Linked DNA regions of Anolis sagrei. The protein of the gene in region 1 interacts with the protein of each later gene in a pairwise test. Links are inferred from orthologs where the notes say so. Each region holds a gene or a part of one and is shown in the gene's direction. Other genes may lie near its edges.

Region 1 (7,147 bases):
TGATGATGGGGATGATGGTGGTGAAGATGGCCATGAAGGAATCATTCAAGGGGATTGATTATGATGATGATAATGGTGGTGGTGGGGATGGCACCAAGGGGTTTGATGATGAGAATGATGGCAGTGAAGATGGCCATGAAGGAATCATTCAAGGGGCTTGATGATGAGGATGATGGTGATGGTGAGGATGGTAGCTAATACATTCAAGGGGTTTGATGATGAGGCTGATAGTGGTGAAGATGGCCATGAAGTTCTCATTCAAGGGGCTTGATGATGATGATAATGATGATGATGGTACGAAGAGGTTTGATGATGGGGATGATGGTGGTGAAGATGGCCATGAAGTTCTCATTCAAGGGGCTTGATGATGATGATAATGATGATGATGGTACGAAGAGGTTTGATGGTGGTGAAGATGGCCATGAAGTTCTCATTCAAGGGGCTTGATGATGATGATAATGATGATGATGGTACGAAGAGGTTTGATGATGGGGATGATGGTGGTGAAGATGGCCATGAAGGAATCATTCAAGGGGTTTGATGATGAGAATGATGGTGGTGGTGAGGATGGTAGCTAATACATTCAAGGGGTTTGATGATGAGGCTGAGAGTGGTGAAGATGGCCATGAAGTTCTCATTCAAGGGGCTTGATGATGATGATAATGATGATGATGGTACGAAGAGGTTTGATGAGGAGGAGGATGGTGGTGAAGATACCATGAAGGAATCATTCAAGGGGCTTGATGATGATAATAATGATGATGGTACGAAGAGATTTGATGATGATGATGATGATAATGATAATGATGGTACGAAGAGGTTTGATGAGGAGGGTGATGGTGGTGAAGATGACCATGAAGGAATAATTCAAGGGGTTTGATGATGAGGATGATGGTGGTGAAGATGGCCATGGAATTCTCATTCAAGGGGCTTGATGATGATGATGATGATAATGATGATGGTGGTATGAAGGGGATCATGAGGATGATGGTGGTGGTGGGGTTGGTAGCTAATGCATTCAAGGGGTTTGATGATGAGGATCATGGTAGTGAAGATAGCCATGACGTTCTCATTCAAGGGGCTCGATGATGATAATAATGATGATGATGGTACGAAGGGGTTTGATTATGAGGATGATGGTGGTGAAGATGGCCATGAAGGAATCATTCAAGGGCCTTGATGATGATGATAATGATGACGATGAGGATGGCACCAAGGGGTTTGATGATAAGGATGATGGTGGCGAAGATGGCCATGAAGTTCTCATTCTAGGGGCTTGATGATGATGGTGGGGGGAGGGGGTGTGGCTCCAAGGTGTTTTGATCATGAGGATGATGGTGGTGAAGATGGCCATGAAGGAATCATTCAAGGGGCTTGATGATGATGATAATGATAATGATGATGATGGTACGAAGAGGTTTGATGATGAGGCTGATAGTGGTGAAGATGGCCATGAAGTTTCATTCAAGGGGCTTGATGATGATGATGATACTGATGATGATGGTACGAAGGGGTTTGATGATGAGGATGATGGTGGTGAAGATGGCCATGAAGGAATCATTCAAGGGGCTTGATGATGATGATAATGATGATGATGGTACGAAGAGGTTTGATGATGAGGCTGATAGTGGTGAAGATGGCCATGAAGTTTCATTCAAGGGGCTTGATGATGATGATGATACTGATGATGATGGTACGAAGGGGTTTGATGATGAGGATGATGGTGGTGAAGATGGCCATGAAGTTCTCATTCAAGGGCCTTGATGATGATGATAATGATGACGATGAGGATGGCACCAAGGGGTTTGATGATGAGGATGATGGTGGTGAAGATGGCCATGAAGGGGCTTGATGATGATAATAATGATGATGATGGTACGAAGAGGTTTGATGATGGGGATGATGGTGGTGAAGGTGGCCATGAAGTTCTCATTCAAGGGGCTTGATGATGATGATAATAATGATGATGGTACGAAGAGGTTTGATGATGGGGATGATGGTGGTGAAGGTGGCCATGAAGTTCTCATTCAAGGGGCTTGATGATGATGATGATAATGATGATGATGGTACGAAGAGGTTTGATGATGGGGATGATGGTGGTGAAGATGGCCATGAAGTTCTCATTCAAGGGGATTGATGATGATGATAATGATGATGATGGTACGAAGAGGTTTGATGATGGGGATGATGGTGGTGAAGATGGCCATGAAGTTCTCATTCAAGGGGCTTGATGATGATGATAATAATGATGATGGTACGAAGAGGTTTGATGATGGGGATGATGGTGGTGAAGGTGGCCATGAAGTTCTCATTCAAGGGGCTTGATGATGATGATGATAATGATGATGATGGTACGAAGAGGTTTGATGATGGGGATGATGGTGGTGAAGATGGCCATGAAGTTCTCATTCAAGGGGATTGATGATGATGATAATGATGATGATGGTACGAAGAGGTTTGATGATGGGGATGATGGTGGTGAAGATGGCCATGAAGGAATCATTCAAGGGATATGATGATGAGGATGATGGTGATGGTGAGGATGGTAGCTAATACATTCAAGGGGTTTGATGATGATGCTGATAGTGGTGAAGATGGCCATGAAGTTCTCATTCAAGAGGCTTGATGATGATGATAATGATGATGATGGTACGAAGAGGTTTGATGATGGGGATGATGGTGGTGAAGATGGCCATGAAGGAATCATTCAAGGGGTTTGATGATGAGGATGATGGTGGTGGTGAGGATGGTAGCTAATACATTCAAAGGGTTTGATGATGAGGCTGATAGTGGTGAAGATGGCCATGAAGGAATCATTCAAGGGACTTGATGATGATAATAATGATGATGATGGTACAAAGGGGTTTGATGATGAGGATGATGGTGGTGAAGATGGTCATGAAGTTCTCATTCAAGGGGCTTGATGATGATCATAATGATGATGATGATGATGGTATGAAGAGGTTTGATGATGAGGATGATGGTGGTGAAGATGGCCATGAAGGAATCATTCAAGGGGCTTGATGATGAGGATGATGGTGATGGTGAGGATGGTAGCTAATGCATTCAAGGGGTTTGATGATGAGGATGATGGTGGTGGTGAGGATGGTAGCTAATGCATTCAAGGGGTTTGATGATAAGGATGATGGTGGTAAACATGGCCATGAAGTTCTCATTCAAGGGGCTTCATGATGATGATAATGATGATGATGGTACGAAGAGGTTTGATGATGGGGATGATGGTGGTGAAGATGGCCATGAAGTTCTCATTCAAGGGGCTTGATGATGATAATAATGATGATGATGGTACGAAGGGGTTTGATGATGATAATAATGATGATGATGGTACGAAGAGGTTTGATGAGGATGATGGAGGTGAAGATGGCCATGAAGTTCTCATTCAAGGGGCTTGATGATGATGATGATGATAATGATGATGATGGTACGAAGAGGTTTGATGATGAGGATGATGGTGGTGAAGATGGCCATGGAATTCTCATTCAAGGGGCTTGATGATGATGATGATGATGATAATGATGATGGTGGTACGAAGAGGTTTGATGAGGAGGAGGATGGTGGTGAAGATGATAATGATGATGGTGGTACGAAGAGGTTTGATGAGGAGGAGGATGGTGGTGAAGATGATAATGATGATGGTGGTACGAAGAGGTTTGATGAGGAGGAGGATGGTGGTGAAGATGGCCATGAAGTTCTCATTCAAGGGGCTTGATAATGATAATAATGATGATGATGATGGTATGAAGAGGTTTGATGATGAGGATGATGGTGGTGAAGATGGCCATGAAGGAATCATTCAAGGGGTTTGATGATGAGGATGATGGCAACCAATACTGAACCTTCCAGGGGCTTGATGAGGAGGAGGATGGCAACTAATACATTCAAATGGGGGGTTGAGAAGGCAAAGGAGAAGGGCAGCAAATGCCTTATGAAGGTGATGATGATGGTGATGATGAGGATGATGGTGGGGATGCCTCCCTCTTCCTTCCTTCCTTCCTTCCTCCCTTCCTTCCCTCCCACCTGCTGCTGCTGCAGAGCCAGGGAAGCTCTTCCTGAGGGCGGGAGGAGGAGGAGGAGGAGGAAAAGAGGAGGAGGAGGAGGGCGGCTGTGGGAGGGATTATCTGGGAAGAAGGAGGAGGAAGAGGAGGAAGGAGAGGAGAAGGACCGAAGGGCAGGCAAAACAGGCAGGCAGGCGGGCCTAGGAGCCAAGCCACTTGCGGGTTCGGCTCTCCTTTCCCAGACCGGTGCTGCTTCCCCTCCCGGAGCCGAGGAAGGTCGGGGAGCCTCCCTACGCGAGGCCGGGGCTTCGCCGCTCCCGCTAGGCCTCTCCTTGGATTTCCCTCACTGGGGAAGGGGAAAAGGAGGAGGAGGAAGGTGAAGAAGGAGGACCTTCTTCTTCCTCGGACCCCGAAGCCAAGCTGGAGCAAGAGGAGGAGGAGGAGAAGAAGAAGGGGAAGGACCCACCGCTTTGGAGGACATCTTGGGGCTTTGGAAGAAGAAGAAGAAGAGGAGGAGGAGGGGGTATCACTGTCCTCTGCTCAGCCCTTCATTGATTCCCCTTAGTCCTCTATCCTGTACCTGCCTTGGCAGGAAAAGAAGTTTGCAATTACCTTATTATTATTAATATTAATATTATGATGATTATTATGATGTGTATTTTGCTTTTCTTTCCTTGGGAGTGATTTGTTGCATGGCTTTTTATTTATTAGCCCAAAGGAAGGACAAGGGAGGCTGCTTGAGAGTGAAATTGGGCATCTTTTTGGCAACCTGAAGACACACAAACACAGAGAGAGACCCAGGAATACAGATCTTTTCCATTGTCCCCCCTTCCCTCTTCCAACAGGAAGGACAGCTGGGAAAACTGGATTATTAGGATGTTTTGATCCCTATGACTTTAATGTTTTGGACGGGAACGCGTCTTTATTCCACCGGGTAGTATTTATAACCTTGGACAAAGTTTGCAGAGTTGTTTGTATTTTTATTTTTGGGGGCAACCACTTCCCCAAGGCCCAGAATTGATAACCTTGGACAAGGTTTGCAAAGTTATTTGTATTTTTTATTTTATTTTTTGGGGCAACCACTTTCCCAAAGCCTGGAACGCTGCATGGATATAAGGATGGACTCAAAGGCTCCGCCGTCTTGACTGCAAGAGACTAGTTTTCCTCCTTTGTGGTTAGGATTGGTAATAAAAATCCGCATCTGCGCAAAGGAAAAAGGCGTGCAAGCAGCCAAAGGATCCACCGCTGGCCAACCCCGGCCTTCTGGATTTGACTACAAACCATGAACATGCGGCCACCTCAGACTGCATTGGACAGGTATGTCAAATAGACAGGTTTAGCTCTTCCTTTGCTTACCAAAAATGGTTTGTTGTTGTAGGCTTTCATGGCCGGAATCACTGGTTTGCTGTGAGTTTTCCGGGCTGTACAGCCATGTCCCAGAAGCATTCTCTCCTGATGTTTCATCCACATCTATGGCAGGCATCCTCTCCTGACGTTCCACCTACATCTATGGCAGGCATCCTCAGAGGCTGTGAGGTCTGTTGTTGAAGGCATTCCTGGCCGGAATCACTGGGTTGCTGTGAGTTTTCCAGGCTGTACAGCCATGTCCCAGAAGCATTCTCTCCTGATGTTTCTCCCACATCTATGACAGGCATCCTCAGAGGCTGTGAGGTCTGTTGTTGAAGGCCTTCCTGCCCAGAATCATTGGGTTGCTGTAAGTTTTCTGGGCTGTACAGCCATGTCCCAGAAGCATTCTTTCCTGATGTTTCTCCCACATCTATGGCAGGCATCCTCAGAGGCTGTGAGGTCTGTTGTTGAAGGCTTTCATGGCCCGAATCGCTGGGTTGCTGTGAGTTTTCCGGGCTGTACAGCCATGTCCCAGAAGCATTCTCTCCTGACGTTCCACCTACATCTATGGCAGGCATCCTCAGAGGCTGTGAGGTCTGTTGTTGAAGGCATTCCTGGCCAGAATCACTGGGTTGCTGTGAGTTTTCTGTACAGCCATGTCCCATAATAATAATAATATCACCACAATCTGTCAACTGCAAAAAGCCACCTGACTTGGATCTCCACACATCATTTGTAAATACATCATACAGTCCTAGACGCTTGGGAAGTGTTCGACTTGTGATTTTGTGGGGAATCCTTTGTTGGGAGGTGTTAGCTGGCCCTGATTGTTTCTTGCCTGGAATTCCCCTGTTGCAATTTGTCATCTTGATTAGCATTTAATGAGCCAGCTAACACCTCCCTACAAAGGATTCCCCTAAGCAGTAACCAGCCAGGCTTTGAAGCTGCAAAGCCATTCATTGCTAATCAAGGTGATCAGTTGCAGCATTCACACTTGCCTCAAAAAGACAAGAATTCTTCCTCCTACCCATAACGTCTGAGGATGCCTGCCATAGATGTGGGTGAAACGTCAGGAGAGAGTGCTTCTGGAACATGGCCAGACAGCCCGGAAAACTCACAGCAACCTAGTGATTCCGGCCATGAAAAGCCTTCGACAACACATTGTCTTTCTTTCCTCGGTTTCTTTGGCCAATGGATGAATGGGCCAGCGTCGGCCTATGTGTGTATATGCGGAGGCGATGTCCAGGTTTTTTGGCCTTTGCTCAAGGAAGGCATTGGTAATGGTCATACGACTTGGCGTCCCTTGTCTCTCCCTCTTTCTCTGAGAAATACTTTTTTTGGGTCCGTTCCACACGGAAAGATGTCATGAAGTAATTGAACTCCGTGCCACTTGTCACTTTTTCCTTTCGGTTTTTTCTTGAGTTGTCAAAGTTTTCATGGCTGGAATCACTGGGTTGTTGTGACTTTTCCGGGCTGTGTGGCCATGTTCCAGAAGCATTCTCTCCTGATGTTTCTCCCACATCTATGGCAGGTATCCTCAGAGGTTTAAGGGTCTGTTGGAAACTAGGCAAGTGAGATTTGGAAAAATGTCCAGAGTGGGAGAAAGAACTCTTGTCTGATTGAGGTAAGTGTGAATGCTGCAATTGATCACTTTGATTAGCATTGAATGGCCTTGCAGCTTCAAAGCCTGGCTGGCTACTGCTTGAGGGAATCCTCTGTTGGGAGGTGTTAGCTGGCCCATTAAGGAGCCCCCGATGGCACAGTGGGTTAAACCCGGCTGGTTC
Region 2 (7,148 bases), on another chromosome or scaffold:
CTTTGGCTGTCCACGTGGTCATCGTTCCACAATCTCCAAATATAGTGCTGTTTGTGCTACTGGTGCTGGTTCTAATATCATGACATGGCCATACTACCATAGTCTTGCTTCTTGCATTTTCTTGCAAATTGCTTTTATTCCTAGTCTTTGACTGATGTCCTCATTTGGCACATGGTTAAGAAGTGTCAAGCCAAGTGTCCATCTCAACATTTCCATTTCCATTGTGTTAAGGGCTTGTTCATGTTTCTTTGTTGCTGGCCTCTTAAAGTGCCTCTTAGCCTTGAGTTGTTCAGGCATTTTTGTGTCACACAGAATGCTAGTAGTTTGCTGCCATATGGAGCAGGCTGCATTTATTCATGACCGTATGTCTGTGGAGACCAGTGACCCTAGGTATTTAGATTGGGTGGCCTTCTTTAGTGCTTGCCCATTAATTTGAATTGTTTTTCCAGTTTGAAGGCCACATTCCAGATACCCATGTCTATTCTACAGCAGAGGTGCACATCAAGAGTTTTTCCCCCCATTGATGGAAGCTTTGTTGTTTTAACACTTTTTGTTTTTAAAGAAGCAATTCTAAGCAGGCAGCCACTGTAATGAACACCTTGGGGGGGGGGGGGGGGGCAAATTTCAAAGAGGGAACTTTTGCCACTACACAAGTCAATTCACCAGCAAATGCTCTCTTTTTTTGTTTCAGGGTTTTGAAAAGTGAGGTGCGAATTAGATTTGGATACAGATCTGAAGCAGCAAGGAGTACAAGCAGAGTGCATCAACATCATCCAAGCATGCTATAGTGAATGTACAACAACACTAATGCATTTCAAACAAGAAGTTGTTATATCTGTAGAAAAAGGTGTATGCCAAGGTGATCCCAACCTTTTTCCTGCTGCTCTGGAAAGTGTAAAAAGAGGCTGTAATTGGTTGAACAAAAGTATACTCATCGATGGGCACAGGCTTAATATCATGTGCTTCATCAACGACATAGTTTTAATCATGCATACAGAAGATTCAGAAGCCTGCAGCATGTTTAGCGAGCTTTGTAGCAGAAGTCGGTCAACTGAATTAAAGATGAACACACAAGAGACAAAGGTATTCTGAAACAACTTCGCAGATGCTGCTGCAATGACAGTAGATGGCGTCAACCTCGAAAATGTAGAATATGTCTACCTCGGAAAGCTGTTAACATCAAGATATGGACTGAAGCCGGAGTGGAACAGACACAGGAAAGCAGGATGGGTTGCTTACAATTCCATTAAAACTGCTATGGACTCAATTGAAAGTACATCTGTATGAGCTCAATTGTTCGATCATGCTACTGCCCCATGCTATGGTGCAGAGACATGGACAATGACGAAGGCTCTCTCAGAACAACTATTGGTCACACATGCCACCCGCAAAAAATGGCTCATTGGGATGTCTCATTGAACTCAGAGAGAACATGGACTGCACAATGAGGATGTTCAAAAAATATCAAAAGTGAAAGATCCTCTACGTTGCCCAATTCAAACATCGTTTTGCAGGACACGTGATGCGCAGAACAGGTGCCATGACAATATGGTACCTGTGGGGATGGAAGAGACCTCTTGGTTGTCCTCCCACCTGATGATCTGACTCATTCTGTATGGTGTATAATGTGAGGGATGAACATGGTTGCACAATGGTACACTGGTCAACTTATGCTCGAAATAGATGTGAATGGAGGTGATTAGAGAAGATGTTGTGATCTTCTGTTGCAGCAGCTCCACTGGCTGCCAGTCTATTACCAGGCTCAATTTAAAGTACTAGTTATGACCTTTAAACGCCTAGGCGGTTCGGGTCCAGGATATCTGGCTGACCGCATCCCCTTGTACCCACCTCCTTCGGCCCTGAGATCTTCAGAAGAGGCCCCTTTCTTGATCCCACCTCCATCTCAAGCTCAATTGATGGGAACGAGAGAGTGGTCTTTCCTTCTCGGTGGCTGGCCTTTGACACTGGAACTCCCTTCTTCCCAGGGAAGCCAGAAGGGCCCTCTCTCTGCTGTCCTTCTGGTTGCAGGCTAAACCATTTTATTCAGACAGGCATTTAAAGATTAAAGTGTTTAAGATCTAGTTAGATGGTGCTGTGTAAGATGTAAGAAAAGTAAGATGGTCTACATTTCCTTGTGAATTATTATTAGTCAGAGGGTGCTGTGGTTTTTAACTTTGAATATGTTTTGATATTCAACTGAATATATTTGGTGCACAGCCATCATTGTTTGAGTCTGCAGTGCTTTCTGGATGTAGGTGAACTACATCTTCAAAACTCAAGATCAATGCCCACCAAACCCTTCCAATGTTTTCTGTTGGCCATGGGAGTTCAGTGTGTCAAGATTGGTTCAGTTTCATCGTTAGTGGAGTTCAGAATGCTCTTTGATTGTAGCTGAACTGTATATCTCAGCAAGTACAACTCCCAAATGACAAAATCAATCCCCCCAACCAAACCAGTATTCAGATTTGGATGTATTTGTGCAAAATTTGGTCCACTGAATGAAAATATATTACAATTCTTAACACTCGCAATATTACAGTTATGAAGTAGCAATGAAAATAATTTTATGGTTGGGGGCCACCACAACATCAGGAGCTGTATTAAGGGGTTGTGGCATTAGGAAGGTTGAGAAACATTGACTTAGGTTGTGAATAAGGGAAGAGACCACGTGGTCCAGAGAGAAAGGAGGAGAGGGTTAGGATAAGGTTTGGGGTTAGGGTTTGGGGTAGGGTTACGATTAGGGTTAGGGGTTAGGTTTTGGGTTAGGATTAGGGTTTGGGTTAGGGTAAGGTTTAGGGCAAGGGTTAGGGTTTGGGTAAGGGTTTAACCATGAAAGAACTCTTACATTCCTTCTATAATATCTGTGTTCCGTTCTGCATTGCGCAAACAGTACTCCCGAAGTGGAAACAGTGTAACCTTCGGAGCAGGCCCGTAGCCAGGATTTTGATTCGGGGGGGGGGGGGCTGAGTCTGAGTGAAAGAGGGTCTACCCTAGCAAAGCTTTTGTTTTGTTACCCCAATGCCCCCATGCATATGAGATATATTGAGCATGGTGATCAGATCATGATATGAATAAACATAACAGTTTAAATAATGTACCAGTAAGGCCTTTTCACAGACCACCATGAGAATTTTGGGGGGGGGGGTGAAGCCCCCAAAGCCCCCCCCCCCCCCCCGCTATATGCCTGCTTCGGAGCTTCCGGACCAGCTATCATACTATCACCCATTGGTGGAAGCCCCTGGTGGCAGGACTGAAGATTGACAAGTCGCAGGTTCAAATCTGGGGACAGCACAGATGAGCTCCCTCTATCAGCTCCAGCTCCTCATGTGGGGACATGAGAGAAGCTTCCCACAAGGGTGGCAAAACATCCGGTCCTCCCCTGGGCAACGTCCTTGCAGATGGCCCATTCTCTCACACCAGAAGTGACTTGCAGTTTGTCAAGTCGCTCCTTACACGACAAAAAAACAAACCTAATGGTGGCTTGTTCTTGGTCTTGCAGCTCTTCTGATGCCTGTTTTGGAGTACCCATTGGCCTGTAAAGCGCAGTTCAGGCGGTTCAGTTCACCTTGGAGGAGGTGGGGTTCGCAGGTTGTGTCTTAAAGGGAGAGAAAGTGGGCTCTGCATAGGGCTAACCACTTAGCATCATAACGTCACTGTCACAGTGTGGGCACACAGGTCTTTTGGTCGGTTTCTGAGGCTCCTGCTTGGCCTCAGGACCCCATTGTCCCTCTCTCCCTTTCCACGTCAGGCGAGGGGAAACGAAACGGTGCGGTGTGAGGCAAAGGAGAGCGCCTTGCAAGCGTTGGGGACAAAGGTCTTTCTGAGGTGGAAGGAGGAGGAGGGCGAAGGCAGGGAGGAGGCGTGTTTGTCCGCTCCGAGCGCTGCCTTTGTGGCGGCGAGGCTACAGGTGCGCCTGGGCCCGCCTTTTTTCCTTCCTTCCTTCTCGGGGCAGGGCTGGCAGCAGAGAGAGAGAGAGAGAGAGAATGGGGAGAGAGGCGGGCCGAGCCGTCATGTGATGCGCCCAACGCGGGCTGGGCGGCGTGCCTTCCCTCCTCCTCCTCCTCCTCTTCCCTCCTTCCTTCAGTCTGAGCCTTCCCTCTCCTCCTCTCCGCCGCCGCGGTTCCTGCTCTCCCTGCGGCTCCTCTTGGATATGGACAGCGCTTCGGCGGCGGTGCTGGCCGGCGCGCCTTGCCTCCTTCTCCGGGGGCGGATGCTCGGCTGAGGAGAGACACAAGGAGGAAGAGGAGGAGGAGGAGAGGCGGCTGAGGCTGAGGCAGCACACAAAGGCGCCCCCTCCCTGCCCCTCAACTTGGGTAAGTTTCCCTCCCGCTTCTCTCTTCCTTCTTCCCTTCGCCCGCCTCTCTTCCCACCTGTTGAAAGGCTTTTTGGAAGGGGACGAAGGCGTGCCCCCCTCCCCAACATACAAACAGCCCCCCCCCCCTTGTAGGGCTTGCGGAGGGCGACTTCCAGCAAATGGCGAGCGAGGGAGTTGCCCCCGAGTGAGTCCCTTCTTGCTCTCTGGAAGGAGGCCCGAAGTTGTGGCCACTGCTCGCCTCGTTTGGGAGCGGATTCCCCACTTTTCTCTCCCTGGCTTCCTCTCCTCCTTCCCCGGCTTTCCCCCTCCCTCTTTCCCCTCTATCTCTCCCTCCACAGCCAACCAAATCGGAATGTCTTCTTCCTTGTTTGCAAGAGCAGATGGTTTCCATTAAGGGTGAAAGAAAAAAAAAAAAAAAAAGGAAAAGAGAGCCCTTTGCCTCTCTCTCTCTCTTGGGCTGAACCAAAGCCTGTGTTGGCGAGCGTTACTTAGCAGCCGGCGTTTGCAAAATGTGAAACTTTCCCATGGATTGTTGTCTGGTTTTCCCCCCTCTTCTGATCGAGCTAGTATCATTTTTTATTTCTGATCTTTTATTATCTGTCTACAATCGACACTGGTGGGTTGCTGTGAGTTTTCCGGGCTGTATGGCTATGTTCCAGACGCATTCTCTCCTGACGTTTCATCCACATCTATGGCAGGCATCCTCAGAGGTTGTGAGGTCTGTTGGAAACTAGGCAAGTGAAGTATGTGTATCTATACACCTCTTTTGTTGGGAGGTGTTAGCTGGCCCTGATCGTTTCATGTCTGGAATTCCCCTGTTCAGGGCCAGCTAACACCTCCCAACAAAAGAGGTATAGAGATACACATATTTCACTGTGTTAGCTGGCCCTGATTGTTTCATGTCTGGAATTCCCCTGGTCCAGAGTGAGAGAAAGAACTGTTGTCTGTTGGAAGCAAGTGTGAATGTTGCAATTAATCACCTTGATTGGTATTGAAAGGCTTTGCAGCTTCAAAGCCTGACTGATTCCTGCCTGAGGGAATCCTTTGTTGGGAGGTGTTAGCTGGCCCTGATTGTTTCATGTCTGGAATTCCCCTGTTCAGGGCCATCTAACACCTCCCAACAATAGATTCCCTCAGGCAGGAATCATCCAGTCTTTGAAGGTACAAATGCCATTAAATGCCAATCAAGCCGGCCAATTGTAACATTCACACTTCCAACAGACAAGAGTTCTTTCTCCCACCCTAGGCATTCCACAGATATATGGCCATGTTCCAGAAGCATTCTCTCCTGACACTTTGCCCTTCATCTATGGCAGGCATCTTCAGAGGTTGTGAAGTCTGTTGGAAACTAGGCAAGGGAGGTTTATATATCTGTGGAATGTCCTGGGTGGGAGAAAGAACTCTTGTCTGTTGGAAGTGTGAATGTTACAGTTGGCCACTTTGATTGGCATTTAATGGCCTTTGCAGCTTCAAAGCCTGACTGATTCCTGCCTGTGGGAATCCATTATTGGGAGGTATTAGCTGGCCCTGAGCAGGGGAATTCCAGACATGAAATAATCAGGGCCAGCTAACACCTCCCAACAGAGGATTCCCTCAGACAGGAATCAGTCAGGCTTTGGAGCTGCAAAGGCTTTCAATGGCAATCAAGGTGATTAATTGCAACATTCACACTTGCCTCCAACAGACAAGAGTTTTTTCTCTCACTCTGGACTGTCCCTAGATATATAAACCTCCCTTGCCTAGTTTCCAACAGACTTCACAACCTCTGAGGATGCCTGCCATAGATGAAGGGCAAAGCGTCAGGAGAGAATGCTTCTGGAACATGGCCATACAGCCCAGAAAACTCACAGCAATCCAGTGATTCTGGCCATAAAAGCCTTTGACAAGACACTAGTGGAGCTTTTCTGGTTTGAGCAATGTTAAGGAAAGATCCTGCCTTGAAGGTGGGGCATGGGAGAGAGACAGGCAAAAAGGGCACCCTCTCCTTTCTAATACCAGGCTTTTTTGAAGTGTTTTGGGAAGGGAATCCTCTTTCAGTTAGTGAGTCTTGAGACAGACAAGTTGGCAAAAATGCTATCATCCCCTTTTAGTACCATCTCAAATGCAGAAGTGTTGGAGAGAGATCATCCTTTAAGTTAGTGTCTGTGTTCCAGAGAGGCAGACAGATAGACAAAAATGCCACCCCACCTCCTTTGAATACCAGGCTTCTGAAATATAGAAGTGTTGGCAAGAGATTATCTTTTAAGTTTGTGTGTGTGTGTGTGTGCGTGTGCCAGAGAGGCAGGCAGATTGACAAAAATGCTACCCCCACCTCCTTTTAGTACCAGGCTTCTGAAATACATAAGTGTTGGCAAGAGATCATCTTTTAAGTTTGTGTGTGTATGTATGTGTTGGAGAGGCAGGCAGTTAGACATAAATGCCACCCAACCTCCTTTTAGTACCAGGTTTCTGAAATACAGTGGTGTTGGCAAGAGATCAGTTTTTAAAGTTTGTATGTATGTATGTGGCAGAGAGGCAGGCAGATAGACAGAAATGCCACCCCCACCTCCTTTTAGTACCCGGCTTTTAAAATATAGAACTGTTGGGGAAATGTGATCTTTAAGTTTGTGTCTGTGTGCCAAAAATGCCCTCTTTTAGGACCAGGATTGTGAAATATGGACTTGAGTTTTGTATACCACGCTATGACTGTATCCTCAAGAGTTTCATAATTGCCCATGCACCATTCAGATGATTAAAACCCAAGCACTCACAACCCATTTGTTTTCTTTTGTGGCGTGTGTGAATGACCCTCCCTTAGTGGTTGCAGTGGCATTTGGACTGGCGCTCTCAGTTT

What was found. The genes of interacting proteins can lie anywhere in the genome.
Region 2: the proteins of ARHGEF11 (region 1) and PLXNB2 interact in a two-hybrid assay, tested with the Homo sapiens proteins (2 studies listed by BioGRID). The link is inferred for Anolis sagrei from reciprocal best matches to the Homo sapiens genes ARHGEF11 and PLXNB2.

The regions. Positions count from the first base shown.
Region 1 is NC_090032.1:11,724,093-11,731,239, forward strand, and holds the start of ARHGEF11 (rho guanine nucleotide exchange factor 11), read left to right. Parts: upstream 1-4,115; 5' UTR 4,116-5,298; coding exon 5,299-5,333; intron 5,334-7,147. UniProt on the Homo sapiens protein: May play a role in the regulation of RhoA GTPase by guanine nucleotide-binding alpha-12 (GNA12) and alpha-13 (GNA13). Acts as guanine nucleotide exchange factor (GEF) for RhoA GTPase and may act as GTPase-activating protein (GAP) for GNA12 and GNA13.
Region 2 is NC_090025.1:125,303,154-125,310,301, reverse strand, and holds the start of PLXNB2 (plexin-B2), read left to right. Parts: upstream 1-4,042; 5' UTR 4,043-4,313; intron 4,314-7,148.